Linked DNA regions of Canis lupus familiaris. The protein of the gene in region 1 purifies or fractionates together with the protein of each later gene. This does not show direct contact. Links are inferred from orthologs where the notes say so. Each region holds a gene or a part of one and is shown in the gene's direction. Other genes may lie near its edges. The genes, in order: ATP2B4 and NPTN.

Evidence for each region.
Region 2: the proteins of ATP2B4 (region 1) and NPTN purify together in Homo sapiens (co-immunoprecipitation; 3 studies listed by BioGRID and IntAct, with this or other methods). This does not show direct contact. The link is inferred for Canis lupus familiaris from reciprocal best matches to the Homo sapiens genes ATP2B4 and NPTN.

What each region holds. Positions count from the first base shown.
Region 1 is NC_049259.1:980,459-991,403, forward strand, and holds part of ATP2B4 (plasma membrane calcium-transporting ATPase 4), read left to right. Parts: intron 1-191; exon of another isoform or gene 192-385; intron 386-1,328; coding exon 1,329-1,490; intron 1,491-1,803; exon of another isoform or gene 1,804-2,031; intron 2,032-4,455; coding exon 4,456-4,670; intron 4,671-5,019; coding exon 5,020-5,262; intron 5,263-5,822; coding exon 5,823-6,064; intron 6,065-9,416; coding exon 9,417-9,648; intron 9,649-10,513; coding exon 10,514-10,693; intron 10,694-10,945. UniProt on the Homo sapiens protein: Calcium/calmodulin-regulated and magnesium-dependent enzyme that catalyzes the hydrolysis of ATP coupled with the transport of calcium out of the cell. By regulating sperm cell calcium homeostasis, may play a role in sperm motility.
Region 2 is NC_049251.1:37,292,352-37,303,296, reverse strand, and holds part of NPTN (neuroplastin), read left to right. Parts: intron 1-1,175; coding exon 1,176-1,309; intron 1,310-5,424; coding exon 5,425-5,698; intron 5,699-5,989; coding exon of another isoform or gene 5,990-6,006; exon of another isoform or gene 6,007-8,223; intron 8,224-10,945. UniProt on the Homo sapiens protein: Probable homophilic and heterophilic cell adhesion molecule involved in long term potentiation at hippocampal excitatory synapses through activation of p38MAPK. May also regulate neurite outgrowth by activating the FGFR1 signaling pathway.

The sequences.
Region 1 (10,945 bases):
AAGATTTCTCTTGGGGAGTGCGTGGGATTGATCTGCTCTTCCCCAGGGGGCACTGAACTCCCTGCTTCACTGCCCTAGGCCGGATTTAAACACCCACGGTACCGGTACCCCCGTTTCAGGCCTAGAAGATGTCAGGGTCCTGACGGTAGAGGGAGTTGGGGTGGGCAGTCCCTGCACCCTCCTCTTGCTACCTTCCTCATCGGTGTCCTCTTCTGGTCTGGATTCCTTCTCTGCTAGTCTTCTTGGGGTGCTCGGACAGAGCCCGTCCTCTGTACCTCTCCTCACCCCTCTTTGTTTTCACCGTCTGTCTTCTTCCTCCCGATCTGGTGTGTGTTTCTTTTTTTGGTGGCTGTGTCTACATCCCGTCTCTGTCTTGTTTGTGAGTCTGACAACAGAGACAGTATCTCAGGAAGTGCCCTTCCCAAGCCAGAGGGGCCGAGCTCCGCAGGGGTGAGGCTGGAAGGGGGCTGGGAACCAGGGAGAACTGCTCTCTTGAGACAGCTACTGGAGATTTTTTTCTTTGTACCCATGTCATAGGAGTCTTTAGGAATAAAGTCATCACATTGGAGAACCAGGGCTCCACAGAAAGAAGTCTTTAATTTTAGGTCTCTTTAACTCTTCTTTTGAAAACCAAGTGGATTTATATGTCTGTCTTTATCCCTCTTATTCCAGACGGCCCCTCCTACCAGCTTCTTCCCTCTCCCCCAAAAGACAACCCTCTACCTCCCCACTCTGTACCTCCCCAACCTTCATCAGACAGGGGAGAGAGGGCATTTCCTTCCCCAGTCGTTGAACTGATATAAAAGGAGGAACTGAAAAATACTGTTTGGGGGACTGTTTCTTCCCTGACAGTCTATAGGGAGAGAGAGATGAACTTTTTAACAGCAGACTAGGATGCTTATGCTCTGGAAACATCTACCAGCCTTCCCCATCAGCCCCTTTCTGCAGCAAAGATTCACTATTTTAAGCACTGAATTCCAGGAAGGATGGCTGTTGGTAATAGCACTTAGTGGCATGACTAATCCTCTTGCTGGAATAAACCTGGCTTGGGGCTCTGAGGTGGTGCCAGGAAGCTGCCACCGAAGAGGAAATCCATAACCTAAAAGTACTCCCGTTTCATCCCTAGTTGTCAGAATATCATTGTAAAGGCCCTAGTAGAGGGTGGAAGGCATGCTCCTTGCCTGGCAGGGGTGAGAGTGGTTGGAGCTGATGCTGGGGGTCCCAGGTGGATTCCAGGAAGGAGACAGAAGAGTTTGGGTCCTCACATGCCTGCTACTCAGTGATACCCCCTTGCCCACTCACCTGTCCTATTTGTGTGCACACCCTAGCAAAGACTCAGGATGGAGTGGCCCTGGAAATCCAGCCACTCAACAGCCAGGAGGGGATCGACAATGAGGAAAAGGAGAAAAAGGCGGCCAAGCTGCCCAAAAAGGAGAAGTCGGTGCTGCAGGGCAAGCTGACACGCTTGGCCGTTCAGATTGGGAAAGCCGGTGAGTAGGGCAGTGCCTCTTGCTATCCATGCTACTCTGCTGGGTCCTCGCCGCTTTGGCTGCCTGCCTTCTGTCCCAGCTGGGCTGGCGAAAAGAGCTGAACCTTCCCAGGGGGCTGGTGCAGCCGAGGTGACCATGCCCCTCTCTCTGCCACCCTCTGGCCACTCCCTGGGTCTTTTCAGAGAGAAGTGTGCCCCTGTGTGCCAGGGTTAAAGACCCCACGGCCCCTTCCCTCCAAACAGAAGGGTAATAAAGAACTGTCACCCAGGGGAGATTCACCTTAGCAAGAAGGAAGACTTGGACGACCGCTCACCTGTTTCCTGTATTGGCTCGTAAGCTCCATAAGGGTAGAGAAGGCTCCCGTTTGCCAGCAGTAATTCCCTAGCATGGCGCTAGCACCTAGCTGGCACAGCACAGTACATTCAAAATAAGGACTAGAAGAAACAGGAAGATCATGCTTTAGAGAGGCTTTTTCCAGAGGAGGGGTTGCTAACGGCACTCTTGTGTATGGTGAGGGGAAGTGGCTTCTCCGGCCCCTGCCTCTACATTCTCCTCTCTTGGGGGTGCTAGGAACAGGGGTTGGAGGAAGAAACAAAAGGAAGATTGCTCCTTCCCTGGACATTTCTTCCAAGGGGCCACCTGGTACCACTGTTTAATTTTCTTCTGGGCCAGCCCCTCCGCTGACTGCCATCAGTCTAGTCTGGTACATTCTGTGCAGACAGTTCACCTGGGATCTTGTTAAAGTACAGATTCTGATTGAGGAGGTCCAGGGTGGGGCCCAAGGTGCTGCATTTCTAACTAGCCTCCAAGCGACGCCAGTGCCACTGATCCATGAACCACACACCGGGTGACAAGGATCTGTAAAAAGGCATTACGGTAGCCACTAACCATGTGTGGCTGTTTCCCCTTAAATGAATTACGATTAAATACAAGGAAACATTCAGCTCCCCAGTGACATCAGCCTTGTTTGAGCTGGTCCATAACCACGCGTAGCTAGCAGCTTCCTTATTGGACAGAGCAAACTGAGGATGTTTGAAGCATCACAGAGAGTTCCGATGGACAGCATTAGTCTAGCATGTTCATTCAGTTCTAGTACCTCGCTTACGGTGACCACCATGAAATCTCTGGCATATCAAGGGTACACGGGGGACATGAACTGCAGGTGTGGAATCAAGTGGCTAAGCCTGGCACACAGGTGTGAAACATTGAATAGACCCCACCCACCCCCCTCCTGTCGTCCTCCAATCCCTGCTTTAGGGAGTACAAGCTACCTGATGGCTGGCCCCTGGTCTCCTCTCGTTTTGGTTTACGTTTCAAGCTAGGCCAGTTGGGGGTGAGGCAAGTAGGGTGCGTTGTACCACCGTCGGGGGGGAGTGCTTCTTTAAATTTCGGACACTAGGCACTTTGTTTGCCTGACCTCAGCCCTGACCCTGATGAAGCAAAATTCAGAAGAATATGCTTTTACTGATATAATCACCTCTGGCCTTGCTCTGATTCTTTTGAATCATTAGGCCCTCAGGAAAAGCAAAGACCCAAACCAGACTATGGTTTGAAGCAAAGCTCTTCCCAGATATTATGCCCCAGATAATCTGGTACAGTTGCCCAGACATTGATCCCCTCAGCCTTCAGGGTGGCCAGGCAGCACCCAGGGCAGTTGGAACCCCTAAGCCAGTTGCTTTCTGACCTTGAAAAACTTCTTCCATTTGCATCAGTGTGTAGGACGACCAACTTGTCCCAGCTCGCTTGGGGCGCTCTTGATTTTACCGCTGAGAGTCCCAAGAAGCTGCTCAGTCTCAGGCAAACCAGAATAGTTGGTACCCTGGTTTTCCAAAAATCCCTCTGTGGGGGGAGGTGGGTATAGGGATGGGTGAAATAGGTGATGGAGATTAAAGAATACACTTATTAGGGTGCCTGGGTGGCTCAGTCAGTTAGGTGTCTGCCTTCAGCCCAGGTCATGATCCCAGGGTCCTGGGATCAAGCCCTGCATCAGGCTCCCTGCTCAGGGGGAGCCTGCTTCTCCCACTCCCTCTGCCTGCTGCTTCCCCCCACTCTCTGGCTGTCTCTGGCTCTCTGTCAAATAAATAATTAAATAAATAAATTTTTTTAAAAAAGAATACACTTACCATGATGAAAAGAAATAAGATTAAAAATTTTTAAATCCTAATTGTGTTTTGATCTTCTTTAAAAAACTCTCTGTGCCTCAATCTACTCATGAAAGGGGATGATAATACTAACTTATCTCACAGGGTTTTTGTGAGAATTAAATCAGTTATTATATGTGAAGTGCTTGCCTGGCCTATATAGTAACTATAGACATCTTTGCTTATTGTAAACATGTAAATTATTGTCATTCTCTGCCTATGCCATGTAAAGAGAAAGGTCAGGAAGCACCGTGCTAAAGGTTAGCCATGTAGGTGATGGGCTGACACCATAGCGGTATCACTGTAAACAAGTCGTAAATTGGGAACCCAACAGTTCCCATCTGCTAGGGGAGAAGCCCAAATTGATAAACTACTAGGAAATAGGCAAATACAGTCACTACATTCTGAATTGTGACAAGAGGGTAGGTCTGAGAATCACAAAATTTCTATTTTAGAAAACTAGACCAACTCCTTATTTATGAATGAGGAAACAGGTCCAGAGAGAAACCAAGACTAGTCCAAAGCCACGAGTCAAGTTAGTGCAGTACAGAAACTGGAACCTGTGTCCATAGAAGATGAAGCCAGCATTTTTTTTCCCTTACATGATAATGTACAAGCAAGAGAGAATGGGTGGGGGATTTGGGGGTGACTGGAGATGGTGGTTTTAAACATTGGTAGCAAAAATAATAATAAAATAAATAAAAATAAAATAAATAAAGAAATAAACATTGGTAGCAAAGGCTACACTTTATGCCAGCCCCCTTCTGGCCAGGGCCCCAGGGAGGCCTTTGAGCCTGGGCTCATGTGATGTGTTTCCTGGACAGGTCTCATCATGTCTGCCATCACAGTTCTCATCCTGATCCTGTACTTTGTGATTGACAACTTTGTGATACACCGCAGACCGTGGCTATCGGAGTGCACCCCCATCTACATCCAGTACTTTGTCAAGTTCTTCATCATTGGCATCACTGTGCTAGTGGTGGCTGTGCCAGAGGGGCTGCCACTGGCTGTCACCATCTCACTGGCCTACTCTGTGAAGGTGAGACTGGAATAGTGCTGTCTCTTCTTTTAGGACTGAGATGGGAGGGGAGGGTGCCACATAGCCTTCAGTGAAAGGATAGGCCATACGATCTGCACAGATTGAGTGGCGCCTCACAAGAGCAGAAGCCATTGGCATCCTTGGAGATGAAAAGGACCATCTTGATCCGTTGCATCAAGGTTTAGGTAACCCAGTAGAATCTGAGGACGATTCACAAAAATAGTACCCTGCATTTTTGTGCAGACAAGAGGATGAGATGCGGAGACATGTTGGCAAAAAATGGCCTTTGACATATATTTGGCAGAGCTCAGTCGGTCCCCCCTCAAGTCTATCCTCATCTCCTTTGTAGAAAATGATGAAAGACAATAACTTGGTGCGGCACCTGGATGCTTGTGAGACAATGGGCAATGCCACAGCCATCTGCTCTGATAAGACCGGCACGTTGACCATGAACCGCATGACTGTGGTACAGGCATATATTGGAGACACTCATTACCATCAACTCCCAAGCCCTGATGTCCTTGTGCCCAAGGTCCTGGACCTTATTGTCAATGGTATTTCTATCAACAGTGCCTATACCTCCAAGATTCTGGTAAGCTCCTCCTTTGCCTAGACACTTAGAATGGGTGGTTGGAGGGGACAATTCCTTTTCTCTGGACAGAGAAATGTTCTCTTGTTTATCCTGCCTGAATTGCCACTGCACATCCCATGTCCTACTCCTCGGTGAACATGTTTGGGATGACTGGGGATTGATTCATGGGAGCAGAGTGGGGGATAGGGAGGCAGGTAGAAATCCAGATCTATGAAATGCCCACCAATCACCATATGATGGCAGTATCCCTAGGAGAGATGGGTTTATCAGGAATAAATTCCATACTTTCTAGAAACTAAGGGACGGTATTCAAATGAGACCCACATGGGGTGAGATACCAGCACCATCCCCAGGGCAAACTAGAACATCCCTAAGCCCTGGATGGCTTAGGAATCACAGTCACCACTGACCACTATCTGCTTACCCTTGGGAAAGAGATAAATGCTATCCCCACATGGGCGCCGGGGACATATGTGAACATTTTGTAGGGGTGTTCTTTCCTCCCAAGTTCTCCCTAGTAGAAGCATGGTACTCAACAGCACATACAATTTTTCTCTCAGCCTCCAGAGAAGGAGGGAGGTCTCCCGCGGCAGGTGGGCAACAAGACCGAGTGTGCTCTCCTGGGCTTCGTCACTGACCTGAAGCAGGATTACCATGCCGTGCGCAACGAGGTGCCCGAGGAGAAGCTCTACAAGGTGTACACTTTCAACTCTGTGCGCAAGTCAATGAGCACAGTCATCGAGAAGCCCAGCGGGGGCTACCGCATGTACAGCAAGGGCGCCTCTGAGATCATCTTGCGCAAGTGAGCCTCCCTTCCCCCACTTCTCTTCCCTTCCCGGTCCTCCCCGTGGGAAGGTCTGGGTGACATGCACCGTGCTAAACCCATCCAAAGGGTCAGTGAGCCCCCTTTCCGGTGGGTGACATCATCACTAATATCTGAGCATTGAATCAGGCTGAGGCTTGCTTTTGAGTGCCTCGGGGGGCCCATTCTACTTAATCTGCACAACCCAGTGCAGTAGATGCTATTAGCACACCTGTTCTACAGATGAGAAAACAGACGTACGAGAAGTGAAGTACTTGCTCAAGGTGATACAGCTCATAGTGGTGCAGCCAGGATTCAGAACTTGACAATCCAAGCTTCCATCTTCTAATCTGAAACCCAAGGAATACCCTCGGGGTTACTATGATTAGGTGATTCGTCGCACGTTGGTGCACCTCAGGGCTGTTGTGAGTTCAGTTCTAGACTGCCCCAATGAAGTGGAGCAGATGAGTCTTTTTTTGTTCCGCAGTGCATATAAACCTCATAGCTATACTAGGCTGTAGTCTATTAAGTGTGCAACAGCATTTTGTATAAAAATACAATGTACATACCTTACTTTAGAAATATTTTATTGCCAAGAAAATAGTCACCATCACCTGAGCTTTAACGATCATCAGACCTTTTTGCTGGTAGAGGGTCTGCCTTGATGTAAGTGGCTGCTGGTTGATTGGGGCAGTGGGTGCTGAAGGCTGAGGCAGTTATGGCAGTTTCTTAAAACAGGACAATGAAGTATGCCGCATCGTTTGACTCTTTCCGTGAATGATTTCTCCGTAGCATGAGATGCCGTTTGATAGCATTTTACCCACAGTGAAACTTCTTTCAAAATTGGAGTCATTTCCCCTCAAACCCTGCTGCTGCTTTATCAACTAAGTTTATGTACTATTCTAAATCCTCTCTTGTCATTTCAACAGTCTTCACAGCATCTTCATCGAGTAGTTTCCATCTCAAGAAATCATTTTCTTTGCTCATCTGCAAGAAGCAACACCTCATCTGTTCAAGTTTTATCATGAGATCGCAGCCATTCAGTCCCATCTTCAGGCTACGCTGCTAACTGTAGTTCTCTCACTGCTTCCACCCTCCCTGCACTTACTGCCTCACCTGAAGTCCTGAACGGTGAGGGTCAGAGTCATCCATGAGGGTTGGAATCAACTTCTTCCAAACTGCTATTAGTGTTGCTATTTTGGCCCCTTCCCATAAATCATGAACGTTCTTTATGGCATTTAGGCTGGTGAGTCCTTTCCAGAAGGTTTCCAATTGACTTTGCCCAGATCCATCGGAGGAATCTCTATCTCTGGCAGCTATAGCCTTACCAAAATGTATTTCTTAAATAAGAAGTCTTAACGCCCTGATTCATATGCTGCAGAATGAGTGCTGTGTTAGCAGGCATGAAAACAATGTGAATCTCATTGGACAGCTCCATCAAAGCTCTTGGGTGATCAGGTGCATTGTCAGCGAGCAGTCATATTTTGAAAGGAATCTTTTTTCTGAGCAGTAGCTCTCAGTGGTGGGCTTAAAATATTCAGTAAATCATATTATAAACAGATGTGCTGTCATCCAGACTTTCTTGTTCCATTTATAGAGCACAGACAGAGTAGATTCAACATGATTCTAAAGGGCCCTGGGATTTTCAGAATGATAAATGAGCATTGGCTTCCATTTAAAGTCACCAGCTACATGAGCCCCTAACAAGCAAGTCAGCCTTTCCTGTGGAACTCTGAAGCCGGGCACTGACTTCTCTCCAGCTGTCAAAGTCCTGGATGCCATCTTCTTCCAGTATGAGGCTGTTTGATCTACACTGAAAATCTGTTATTTAGTGTAGCCACGTTCATTAATGATCCCAGCCAGACCTTCTGAATCACTTGCTATAGCTTCTACATCAGCACCTGCTGCTCCACCTTACACTCTGATGTCATAGAGACAGCTTCTTTCCTTAAACCTCACGACACAGTCTCTGCTGTTTCAAACTTTTTCTGCAGAGTCTTCATCTCCCCCAGCCTTCCTAGGATTGTGGAGAGTTAGGGACCTGCTCTGGATTAGGCTTTGGCTGAAGGGAATGTTGTGGCTGGTTTCATCTTCTATCCAGAGCACTCGAACTTGCTCCATTCAGCAATAAGGCTGTTTGGTTTTATGGGAGAAATGCTTTTCATTTCCTTCAAGAACGTTTCCTTTGCATTCAGAGCTTGGCTATTGGGAGCAAAGAGGCCTAGCTTTCAGCCTCTCTTGGCTTTTGACTCACCTTCATCACCAAGCTTAATCATTACTAGCTTTTGGTTTAAAGTGAGACATGTGAGACTCTTCCTTTCACTTGAGCACTTAGAGGCTATTGCAGGGGCATTAATGGCATAACTCCAGTAGTGTTGTCTCTCAGGGGAGGGGAGGCCTGGGGAGAGGAGGAGAGAACGGGAAAGAGCCAGGCAGTGGAGCAGTCAGAACACATATGACATTATCAATTAAGTTTGCCATCTTATATGCATGTGACTCGCAATGTCCCCAGACAATTACAATAGTAGCATCACAGATCACCGTAACAAATACAATAATAATGAAAAAGTTTAAAATATTGCAAAACTTACCAAAAGGTGGCACAGAGACATGAAGTGAGCAAATGCTTTTAGAAAATTGGTGTCATTAGCGTTCGATTCAGGGTCGCCACAAACCTTCAATTTGTTAATAAATAAATAAATAAACAAACAATGCCTGCAAAGTGCAATAAAGCAAAGTGTCATTAAACAAGGTTTGCCTGTATGTAAAATACCAGGCACATAGCAAGTACTAACAAATGTTAGTTCTATGTTCCTTTTTCCTTCTCATGCTCAACTCCACTTATAGGAAGTTGAGTAACTTCATCAAGTAGCTAGACTGTTCATGGGTCATTATAGGCTGACCGACATAGGTACAGGGCCAGTAGCTATAGAATTAACCAGGCCTTTATTTGGCTTTAGCCACCGTCTTTCAACCAACCCATTCCTGTGGAGCACACCCTATGCACTGAGCACCATTCTAGTACTATTCACGTACCTGGAATTTAAAATGTCTCTCCACCTTTGAGAAGTTCAAAAGAGGGGGTAATCCACAAATGACTCTTGGCATCACATTCACATATGAGTAGGAACAGACAACATGGGAGAATCATACCTTTGGCTTCCCTAGACCTGATCCATCTACAAATCACCCCACCTTGGGAAAAGGGACTCGGCTGGATGATGAACAGAGATTTCTTACCCAAGAATGCTGTCTTTACGAGTAATGCAGGATTGCCAGAATGTCTGCAAATGAGTGTAGAGACATCTGGGGTGGGAAAGGGTTGCTGCTTCCTGACTGTGTGCCTCCCCAGGTGTAATCGAATCCTGGACAAGAGAGGGGAAGTGGTTCCATTCAAGAATAAGGACCGCGATGAGATGGTCCGCACTGTCATCGAGCCCATGGCCTCTCAGGGACTCCGAACTCTCTGCATCGCTTACCGGGATTTCAATGATGGCGAGCCCCCATGGGACAATGAGAGTGAAATCCTCACTGAACTGACGTGTATCGCAGTGGTGGGCATTGAGGACCCTGTGCGCCCAGAGGTGAGGCTTTGGCTTGGCAAAAGGGTAGGAGAACATGAATGGAAGTCTTCCAACAGCCTCTGGCCCACATGCCAGCCGAGCATGATGTAGGGGGTAGTCCCCCCATAGAAGGGAACGGAGGTACTAGTTCCATGTTTAGCTGTGACCCCAGGCACGTTACCCAACAGCTTCTCATGTACAGGGATAGATGTTTCTGTGCCTTCTGCTTCCCAAACCACTGTGGAGTGCTGAGCTGATAGAAGCTGGCATTCTGACAGTGAATGCTGTCTGAGGGGTGAGAAACATAGGTTGTATTGAGCTTATTATTGGGTACCTAAGAACAGTCAGAGTTAACTGGGACACCAACTTTGCCTCTAGCCACCTTCTTTCAATCAACATATTCTTATTGACTGCCCCTAGAATAGCTGAACAGTAATCTAGAAACTAAGGCGTTGAAAAGGTCTCTGCTTATAATAAGTTCAGACTAGTGGACTTTTAGTTGTCAAGGCCCAAGGGCATAGGAGACTATAAAGAATGGATTGGTTGGAGTATGGGCCAGGGAAGTGGAGAATGCTAAAAAGGGAGATGGTGGCCAGATCCCAATGAGGTATGGATGTGCCCTGCTAAGAAGTCTAGATTGTAGGGAGAGTACACTTCCACACCTGGCTCCTCAAGCAGATTTTCTCTTCAACTCATGCTACAGTAAGGCAAGTTCAAATGTAGTATTATGAATAGGGCAGAAGTCGGGTGGCACCAAACAATATAAAAATGACCAGACCTAGCCTCTGCCACATGGCACTGCTCCTAAGTGCCTCTCTCCTGTCCACAATGAAGGGACCCTTCACCACCCCCACCTCCTCCTTTCCTCTCACCTTACTCTCCATAGGTACCTGAAGCTATTGCCAAATGCAAACGAGCTGGCATTACTGTCAGAATGGTGACAGGTGACAACATCAATACAGCCCGGGCCATTGCCACCAAATGTGGCATTGTGACACCTGGGGATGACTTCCTGTGCTTAGAAGGCAAAGAATTCAACCGACTTATCCGCAACGAGAAAGGAGAGGTGGGTCCTGGCTAGGAAGACCTCATCTCGCAACGGGGTGGGGGGCAGCTCTCCTGTAACGGATCCAGGACACAGGAAAGAAAGCGACTGGGTTTTGTTTTTCTTGTTTGTTTGCTTTTGGGTTCTGTTTTGTGTGTGTGTGTTTTGAAGATCGAATTGGCTTTATTGAATGATTTCATGAATCAGGCAGCAACCCATATAACCAGTAGGGGCAGCTGTGAGGAGTTGGACCCCAAGTGGGTGGTTTTTAAA
Region 2 (10,945 bases), on another chromosome or scaffold:
AGGCTTTTAGAGGGGGAACATGGGGTAAGCCCATGATACAATACTCTATTGTACAGGCTTCTGTGATCTCAAGATGAAATGTTTTAAAACTTCCCTATCCAAGGGCACTGGATGTAGACAGGGGCCAGAATTACCTTCATTTGGTAATGGCTGTAGAACCGAAGCATGGAACGATTAAAGAACAAGCAAAACTAGAATCTGGACCAGGCTTCTTGATTCTCTTTCCTGTCTTGGCCAAGAAAGTGACATCTGGCCTACTCTGCGTTGTAGCTTTCACATTACTATAACCAGTGAGGAGTATGGTGGAAAGTATCGTTAGGATCAAAGGAGACTAAATTCAAAGCATTATCTCCATCTCTGATTTCTTAGATCCTTGAAACTTACCTGATTTTTACACCACAGGTGCTATTTCTTTGTAAGTGATCCTGTAACGCAGAGAAGACCAGCAACGTCTAGCATATCTAGAAATTCCCCCAAGATTGGGTTTATTGAGATTACTGCAAATCAGGTGTACAGGTCAGATTCTTAAACTGTTAAATCTCTTAGGACACTGGTTGAATTTCCTATTTATTCCTTTCTTACCCCTTCTGAAGGCCAGTTTGCTGGATTACCTCTTTCCCAGAAGAACCTTGCTCATTGATGCGCATCAGATAGCTTCTCCATGCATTGATTGTTTTTACATACCTTGCAATGGGACTTGATTCTAGGTGTTTGATTTCAGGGCTCTCCCATTTCCTTAAAGGAATATAGGACATTTGATAGAATCCATAATTGCTATTACTGCAGTTTGAAAAAAAACCAAAAACCTATGACTGGAAAAGGAGATGATAATAGCTTCTGTGTGCATTTTTTTTTTTTTAAGAATGTTTTAATTTAGGGCAGTTGAGCCTGTGTCCCCTCTTCCAAGAGGTTAGAGAACCCACCTACATTGTTAGTACAATTTCACATAATGGTAATCCTGGTATCTGCTTGGGCTGCTTTGTTGGGTGGGAGGTAGAGAATAGATTGGTTCCATTGCTCAGTTCTGACCTGAAGTGCATGTTGTCAAAGATTTTTTGAGGATAGGCCTAGAGACTGGCTGTATTAGAAGCAGAGCTCTGAGTCAGTAGGTGGGACCTTTGTAATCCTATTCAGAGTCCGCTCTTGTGGTAACTGTTCAACACTCTTTCTTACAGCTGCTCCTGACATTACTGGCCACAAACGGAGCGAGAACAAAAATGAAGGGCAAGATGCCATGATGTATTGCAAGTCAGTTGGCTACCCACACCCAGAGTGGATATGGCGCAAGAAGGAGAATGGTATGCCCGTGGTGAGTAGGAGGCAGCCCTGATTCTCTCCCTGGGTCTCTGGTTGCTGGAGTTTCTCCTGGGAGGTCCAGACATCTGGACCTGCCAGTTGCTGCATCCTGCCATACTGGCATGGCTTAGGGTCACCCGTTCTAGTCATAAATGGTTACATGATAAATCTGGAAGTCACTGACAGTCTCCGTCCAGCATGGAATCCCTACATGATTTGTTAAAAGCTGGCTGTTTGCTAAGGGATTAGACTGATTTGCCTTCAAGGAGACTGAAGGAGTTTAACCCCAATCTTAAACATTTTTTTTTTATTTTAGTCCATTTGTCCTAAAGAAAATATTTTCTTGAAGTAGTTTTTTTTTTTTTTTAGTTTTGTTTTTGTTTTTTTTTTTTTGTTTTTTTTTTTGTTTTTTTTTTTTAATCTATTTATGATAGTCACAGAGAGAGAGAGAGGCAGAGACACAGGCAGAGGGAGAAGCAGGCTCCATGCACCGGGAGCCCGATGTGGGATTCGATCCCGGGTCTCCAGGATCGCGCCCTGGGCCAAAGGCAGGCGCCAAACCGCTGCGCCACCCAGGGATCCCTTGAAGTAGTTTTAATACACCTTTCTTGTTTTGGAGAAAGACAAGGCAATGAGAACAATTTAGTACATCCCTGGAACACAGGGAGTACTGATTGGGAATTGAGGCAACATGGTAAAGCGCAAGGGCAGTCTTGAACATTGGAAATCCGATAGTATCTGCTCCCAAAGATGTTTAAAAAAAAAAAAAAAAAAAAAAACTTTTCTAATTGGCCGGGTGATTTTTTTTTTTTTTTAAGATTTTATTTATTCAAAAGAGAAAGCCAAAGAGAGAGAGTGTACAAGTAGGTGAGGGGCAGAGGGAGAAGCAGACTCCCTGCTGAGCAGGGAGCCCCACTCAGAGCTCGATCCCAGGACCAGGATCATGACCTGAGCCAAGTGTAGACACTTAATGGACTGAGCCACCCAGGTGCCCCAAGGGATCTACTTTTACTGAACCTCTCTGTTTTCCCGCTTAGCTCCAGCCACAGATTATTTTCACTGCTGGGGTCTGCTCACTCAGAAGGCAGCCCTGTTAGGTAGAGGAAACCAAACTTGAACATTATGGCTCTTCAAATAGTGGGAATATAGTCTCTGCGTTCTCACCTCCAAACAGCCCTTTTCCAAGATTGAGAGGCATATGGCACATCATTTGGTTTCCTGCCTATCCACTGGAAAAAGATGGTTTGTTCTTGGCACCCCCAGTCTTTGAGTGATTCTCTTTTGGTGCCTGTTTCACTTGGCTGCAGGGTGAAAGGCTGCATGCAATGCCAAGTGCTTTTTTTTTTTTTTTTAAGAATGTTTTAATTTAGGGCAGTTGAGCCTTTAATAAAAATAACTCTTTTCCAATCACCTATCAGCCTGTCTTCTCTTTTATAGACGGGCAAGGGGTAATGTGATGACTTGGGGATAAGATAGCTTGATGGCGCTCCCTTTTAATAAGCCCTGGAAGGGCTATCTACTCCCAGTTTTGTTTGAACTTTTTATTTTTTTATTTTTTAAAGATTTTATTTATTTATTCATGAGAGGCACAGAGACACAGGCAGAGGGAGAAGCAGACTCCATGCAGGGAGCCCAATGTGGGACTTGATCCCGGGTCTCCAGGATCACGCCCTTGGCCAAAGGCGGCGCTAAACGGCTGAGCCACCGAGGCTAGCCTATTTGAACTTTTTAAAAAGAATAATGGGGTACATAATTTATGACAATAAATGTAAAAATTACAGTGGTACTAAATACAAAGTTTTCAGCATCCTCATTAAAAAGCAGAGAAATAAAATAACAAAATGTTGCTTAAAGATAATCTGCATATAACAATAGTACAGAAATATTAAAACATGATGGACAAAGATGTATATGGTGAAAGTATATAACATAGAACAAATGAAATATTAACATTACAGAAAGTGAAATTCAAATAAACATGAAACCAGAAGAGTTCCTTTTTATCACAGGAGGTGTAATCCAGGGGCAGCCCCACTGGCCCAGGACGTGATCTGGGAGACTGGGGATCGAGCCCCACATCGGGCTCCCTGCATGGAGCCTGCTTCTCCCTCTGCCTCTGCCTGTGTCTGTGCCTTTCTCTCTGTGTCTCTCATGAATAAATAAATAAAATCTTAAAAAAAAAAAAAAACAGGTGTAATCCACAATAAAGACAAAGCTGTCATGATCTTTTTATGCTACATAATACAGTTTCAAAATGAATGAAACAAAAACTGGAAAAATACGGAAATATAGCAAAAAAGCAGTTAAATGGTGGCAGACTGACAGATGAGATGGAGGGAAAATGAACAGCACTGTGGAAGACTTGATCATGTAATGAATAAGATAACACAGTCTTTCATACTGAAACCTAAATATCAGTCACTGTTAGTTATAAATATATGTGAAAACGTCCTAAGTACAAATTAATTTAATGGTATTTGAAAAGATACCCTTTAAAAATATTTATATATATTTAAAAGTTTTTACTACTGTATAGCTGACATATGATGTTACAGGAGTTTCAGGTGTATAACGTAGCGATGGACGATTCTGCACATAATGCAGTAGCCACCACCATTAAGCGCAGTCACCGTCTGTTACCATACATTGTTATTACAGTATTACGGACTCTCTTCCCTGTGCTGTACTTTCATCCAAGACTATGGGGTACTTTTGATGCTTCTCCTTAGTCATCAATTCTGTAGCAATAGGACAGGTCCCACTCACTATCTTATTATGCATTGATTAAAAAGGTTAAGGTTTCTTGCATATGATGGTGTTCAAAAACTACAGGTTAAAGGCTTGTGGAACAAAAAAAACTAATCCCTTCTGATCATAAGTGAAAAACATGGGCTTAGTGAACCAGTAGAGCAGGGGTTAGAGAAGCTGGCAGCTTTCTAAGTCCTCGAGTTGAAGCTTCAGGGAATAATTTATTTTGAAGGCTTGATTTGCCATTTCAGCCATACCCACACTCAGTTGCAGGCACCACTGTTTGCTATAGTTAAACGTCATTATCTTCCCCTTTCTTCCCTATTTCTGATTATGCTTTAGCTGTTGCCTAACAACTGACACATGATTCCATTTTTGCCTGCCACTACCCCAGTGCTGTACGCTTGTCCCAGCTCCACCTCAACCCCTGCTTGTGTACTCTCCCCTCTGTCTTCCCACAAGAGCCTGGAGCACTCCTGTCCTGCTTGATCACCTCTCTTCCCCACCACCCAGGGCAAAAGCTGGCTTTTCTGTGAAGCTTTCCCTGAGTCTTTCTGGCACTGGCCACTCCCTCTGTGCCGCACAGTACTCAGTACGTGCCGTCTCTTGGGGCTTCTTGCCGTGTTCCTGTAACCATCCCTTTGGAGGTCTGGTTCCCTCTTAAGGCCAACCTCCTTGTTCACTTTTGTGTCATACTTTTCCCTTTCTGTCTCCCCTTCCCCTTAGTGGGATGTGAGACACGTAGCATACGTTAGTAAATAGCTATTGATTGACTGAATAAACTTTACTTTATCCTTCTGATTCTTTTTTTTTTTTTTTTTAATCCTTCTGATTCTTAAGAAAGAGAAGTTAGGAATTTGTCTACTCTGACTAGGAGCAAGTTCTTAGCATTCTTTCTGGAGGAGGTTTAAGACGACTTGTCAGGACTCACCAAGTGTGAAATAGATGTGCTAATTCTGAAGTCCTCAGATAGGCCTGAGATTAGCATATATGTCTGACTGCGGAGGTCACACCCCTCCTTCTCCATCTTCTTCCTGTGATGGTTTCTTCCCTTGTATTTGAAGTAGCATTTTCTAGATTGAGTTGGTCTTTTCTGAGGCTACAGGGTAGGACTTCCATTCACTTCATAGAAGTTGGAGAAGTCTAGAGGACACGGCAGGGGAGGCTTTAACCTGGCTCTGCCAGAAGCTTGCTGATGTGTTGTTGTTGTTATTGAAAGGAAGCCGGTAATGAAGTGCTCACAAGTTCCCTGGACAAAGATGGTCCTAGACACTGCTCCCTCATCCCAGCCAGTGGTCCTGCTAGGACCTTACCTTGTCTTGCACACGGATTCACCTACTCTGACCTTTGTGTGTTCTTACTTTTTCTGCCCCCGAGCAGGACATTGTCAATACCTCCGGCCGTTTCTTCATCATCAACAAGGAAAATTATACTGAGCTGAGCATCGTGAATCTCCAGATCACAGAAGACCCTGGCGAGTATGAATGTAATGCTACCAACTCTATTGGCTCTGCCTCCGTTGTCACCATCCTCAGGGTACGGAGCCACCTGGCCCCACTCTGGCCTTTTTTGGGAATTCTGGCTGAAATCATTATCCTTGTGGTGATCATTGTTGTGTATGAGAAGAGGAAGAGGCCGGATGAAGTTCCTGACGGTAAGAGCATCCCTACAAAATAGCTGTAATGTGGGGGTTGGTTCCTAGGGATGGTCTCCAAGTGCCCAAAAAGGACTCTGAGAGTGTTGGGGTTTGATCCCAAAAGGAGAAGAGAATTCTCATACTGGTTTCTCGTTTCCTACTGCTAAGATCAGCCATCTAGAGCTATCCTCAGCTCGGTCCCTCCATTTGGGTGTTTTCCAAGCCCCGGTCCCTTCTGCCCTTCAGCCCCCACATGGGGAATAGGCAGCCACCAGTCTCTTGGTTCAGCTCTGTCCTCCTTCGATACAGATCATCAGGCAGATTGAGCTTGAGGAGAATCCAGGTCAAGCCTAGAAGCCACCCCAAGATCGCAGGCCACCTGGCCTTGCAGGCAGATTTAAGGTATCTAATTGGTTGTCACATGGTTGCCGGGTAGAGCCCTTGTAGGTTACTGCCCCAACCCCTTCAGACCATTCTCGAGAAGAGCCATTGGAGCAAGCCAGCCTTTGGTTCCCTTGGTTGGTCCCTGTGATGGGTTTTCAAGGTTCTGGGTGAAACAGGCACCAAGCATTTGGCTTTTCTGTCCCACAAGAATGGTGGAGTCTGATGCATCCATCACCTCTAGTTTGAAGACCAAGACAGCTCAGCAGTAACACCTGGAGCCTGTGGCCCGAGTGGCACCCTCAGGCTGACTTAGGGCCAGAGGTGGAACTGGATAGGGACACCAGGACTACAGTGAAAACAAGTGTGGGAAAGAACAAGAATCTTAGATTTTTGGACATGTTTCAGTCAGGAAAGCCCTAGGAAATCTTTGTGGCGGGTGTTTTGCTTTGGGGGGGTTTTGGGTCATACACCATTTCTAACCCCAGGATTACAGTCGGGGGCAGCTGCTGCTGGAGACTCGTGTCAGTAGTACTTTGAGCTTCCTGACTAGCTCCGCCCCTTCCACCCGGTGACATTGCCATCAAGTTAATAGCCAGCCTGCGATTACCACCACTTGCTTGTCGCTCTGTGCGCCTAAGTCCAGTGGAGGCTGGCCTCAGGTGACGGTGAGGATGCCAACTGTGGCGCGACCGCCCTGGGCCTACGCTTGTGCGCTGTGGGTTCTGTGCCCTGCCCGCAGAGTAGCTGACCAGCAGGACTGCAGCCCCCATCAGGTGTGTCCGTGGAGCATTCCTGAGGGAGGTCCGGTGCTCCCTCGGAGGGCGTGCAGCCTTGCTGGTGGCTTCAGCCTCTCTGGAAGGCCGTGTTTGAGGGCAATGCCTCTTCCCGTTACGTCCTCTCTTCTCAGCGCCTCCAGAATCTCTCTGCCTGCCTGAGGTGGAAGAGAGCATTACAGTGAGGCCGGCGGTGACGTCTGTTGAAACTAGCAAGGCGCCTGGGAAGCCCGGGTCGCCCCTGCCCGCGCACGTCATCCGCACGTCATCCGCAGTGCTCCAGCGGAGGGGCGAGGGGACGGGCGAGGGGACGTCCGCTGGAAGCCAGCGGGCCTGCTCCCTGCACGAGCTGGTGTGCCTCCGGGACCTTACGTGCCTCCTCGTGGGGCCCCAGGACTGCTGTTCTGTGAGGTGAAGGGCGTTCTCGGATCCTCACATGCAGAATGCTTTTCCCTCTAGTTTTTCTCTTTCCTGCTACAAATTAGGATCCCAAGGCAGAATTCTTAGCTGTCGGCCTGCGAGTAAAGGGAGGTGGTGTGCATTTCCCTCTGGCTCTCCAGGAGCGGCTGTCCCGTTCTGCAGGGACTTGTCATCCCTTCAGAATGCGTTGGTTTTGCTGAACACCTTGCTCAGCCTTCCCTTTGGAAAGGTAGAGAAGCAAAAAGGGAAGAAAAGGCAAAGACGGGCTTTTGAACCTGATTTTTTATCATAAGATGAGGCTGCTGCCACTCCCTTGGCAGAGTGACCCTTTGGCTTAGCATGTTCCCCTCAGAGGTTCCAGTCTTCCTCGTAGGCAGCTGCTTTGTTCTCTTACGTGTGGAGACATTCGGGTTAGGTTTCAGAGGTGGTTGGTATTGGATCTGACAAGTGCAGACACCTGCCCGAGGAAGCAGCTCTTGTTTTTTAAGAGAGAGCGAGAACTCCATGGCTCTCGAACTCCAGGGGCCGCCAGTTAGGTAGTAGAGACCTGTGTGGTCAGCAAGTCTTCTGAATGGCTTCCCGAAGGGAAGGTACCTCTTTTAAGTGAAATTTTTATAGAAGCGGATGAATCCTACATAAAAGATGTGGGTAAGTGCAAAGTAAAATCTCCTTGCTCTGGTCTCTTGGAAGAACTGGAATGTAAGCAGCATTTACTTTTCTGTTGTTGAATTGGGGCGACAGACCTGGGACGCTGGGATTATCGCAGTGTTCGCCTCCTCTCCGCTCCCTTCCCGACAGCCAGCGTGCTCCAGGCTCCATTCTCCATCTCCACACCCCTGCCTTGCTCCAGCATTTCTGCCCCCGTTTTCTTTTTTGTCTCCCTCCTCCTCTCACCGCTTCCTACTCCTGTGCCCCCTTTATTTATTGTCCCCTTGGATTTAATCATTAAAGAAAAAAAAAAGCTGATTGTTCCTCAGTGAGTTTTCCTTATGCCGTGGCTTTTTTTCCCAGCCAGTTTCCCCTCAACCGCTCTACAGTCCATGTAAGACCAGCCCCCTCATGCTTTCTGCCCTCATACCCCTCCCCGAGGCTACATGTAGATAGAGGTATGCACTCCTTTGTGGGATGAATGAAGAGGTACCTTAGATCTGATACAAATTGGAGTTTTAGAGGTGATGGATTTTTATCAGATAACCATCTGTGGTACTGTTGACTTATTTATGCCATTGTGAAAATGGTGTTTTTTTTTTTTTTTTTTTTTTTTAATGTGCCTGACATGTTTTCTCTGCCAAAATAGGTACTTTATTATCAGGATAGACTTATGATTTATTTCTGACTCACTGAATTTTTTCTTATATGAAACTGTTTCATGTAAAACTCATAGTATTCCTATTTGGGCAGTCTGTGAGCTCTTGGTGACTCAGCCCCTCACCTCTTTAAATTGTTACTAAGTGAACAATTTAAACAATTTAAAACTATACACATGCACAAATTTGAACTTAGTGAGTTTAGTCTGAGTATGCTTCACCAGAAAAGCAAATATTGCTTTAAATTTCTCACATAGAAAATGCTTAGGGTTAAGGTTTAGTGGCTTCCAGGAGAAAAAACAAAAGAGTTCTTTCTCTTAGTTTACTAGAGTCTACTCAGGACATTTTATAAGCAAAACTCACACTAAGTCCCATTAAGGCACTACTGTGGTCTCACTGAGGATCAGTGCCCAATGGGTTGTCTTATAGGTAGATTATCTGCATGTCACCTTTTACCTTCAGTGTTTTCAGTAACAGATGAGTCAGAGTCAAATCAAAGACTTTTTTTCACCTTCGCTCTTGACTACATTCTCTGAAAATGTTAAATGATAATTCTTTTCTAAAAAGACTAGGTCCAGTCAGCATCCCCCTAGCCTTCCATCCATCTTACGGCTTTACATGATTGGAGCACACCTTCCTCCTTTGTTGGTTCTCTGCTGACTGAACCCAGAGAGGGATTCATGTGTGCTTCGGGTCTGTCCTCCCCAGTCATCTGGGAGATGGGGCCTTCCCTACTGGCCTCATTGTTGGGGCCTTCGATTCTACTGGACATTTTAGTGACCTCAGATGAAAACAACAGGACCTGATTTAAGAAAAGTGGTGGCATCAAAAAGAGTTTCTGTTTTCACATTAGGGGGGTAATTTTTATATGCAATTCAAAGGGACTTCTCAAGTTACTGGTGGAGAAGATAGCTGAGGTTTTAGGGGGACCATTTTTAGTGTCTCTGATACATTCAAACTCTTTTAGACACTCTACAAATAAGAGTTACTCTAATGTTCACAAAGTGTATTAGTTGGGAGCATATGAAGCTTATCAGCCGGCTAGGAGTGCTGGAAAAGAAATGTGACTTTTTTTTTTTTTTTTTTAAGATTATTTATTTATTTATTCATGAAAGAGAGAGGCAGAGACACAGGCAGAGGGAGAAGCGGGCTCCACATGGGGAGCCCGATGCGGGACTCAATCCTGGGGCTCCAGGATCATGCCCTGGGCCGAAGGCAAACACTCAACTACTGAGCCACCCAGGTGTCCCAAGAAATGTGACTTTTAAAATTAACATGCAAAACATGCCTGTCATTGTCTCCTAACCTAGGGGTCATCTGAGTCAGTGACAACTTACCTTACGGAGAAAATACAGTGGGACCAAAAATGAAAGGCAACTGGATGTAACCATTAATCTCTCTCTGGTTTAATGCGACTCTGCTGAGATCAGGCAAAATTGAAGCAGGTTTAGAAACTAGAAAACATAGTCCTCGGTGAGATGGAGGCAGTGAAAAAGGAGCTCTGACCACACAGTCAACCCTTGGTCACTCTGACTAGAAAGCCATCTTTTTGGAGGTGCTCCCGCACGGGGACCGCGTGGTTTCCTGGGCTTCGCAGGGCGCCCTTCCGGGTGAGGAGGCAGTGGGATGTAGGGGAGCGAAGGCCGTAGCGCATCTGGTTGGGAAGAGGTCAGTTCCACCAGGAACCTCACTCTCCTAAGATGGATTCCAGAAGCATCTTGTTTCCCTTCTCCCCAGTCCTCTTCTCTCGTCTAGCCAGTGGCTGGGAGTAACCCCCAGGCGAAGAGGAGAGCCACTGTTTAAGCCGCTATCTTTTGTCCTGAGGGTTTGGGGGTATGTTGATATTTGTCGGTTACTATGACTTCTTTTTTTTCCCCCCTCAATTGCATCAAACCCTTAAAACATGGTGGTAAGTGAGCGATATGCATGCTTTTGGAGTTTGTTTAATCTCCGCTTCAGTCTATACGATGCACAGTTCATATGTTAACACTTTTCTTCAAGTTTACTTCATTCACTTTCACGACTAATTTGGATTTCAGTTTGCTGTTTAATCCTCATTTACTTTTTAATTTTCGTACCTTTTTTTCTGTAGTTCTGTTCTTTCCCTCTCTCCTGATTTCCTTGTTAGGGTCAGGTTGTATTTTTTTGTCTGACCTGTAAAGGGAGAGTGGTGCCGCAGATAGTGACTCAGTCCAGGACAGTAGGAGACACGAGGCTCTTCTCTTGGTTCCTTGGATTTGGGGAGAGAGCTGAAGTGACTTTAGACACTAGTGTGACCAGCACCTGCTCCCACTTGCAGGCATGGCAGCTGCACCAGAGCCACTGTTGCTAAAACCCCTACATGCAGCCCTTTGCACGTTACCGGCTTGTTGGGCTGGAAA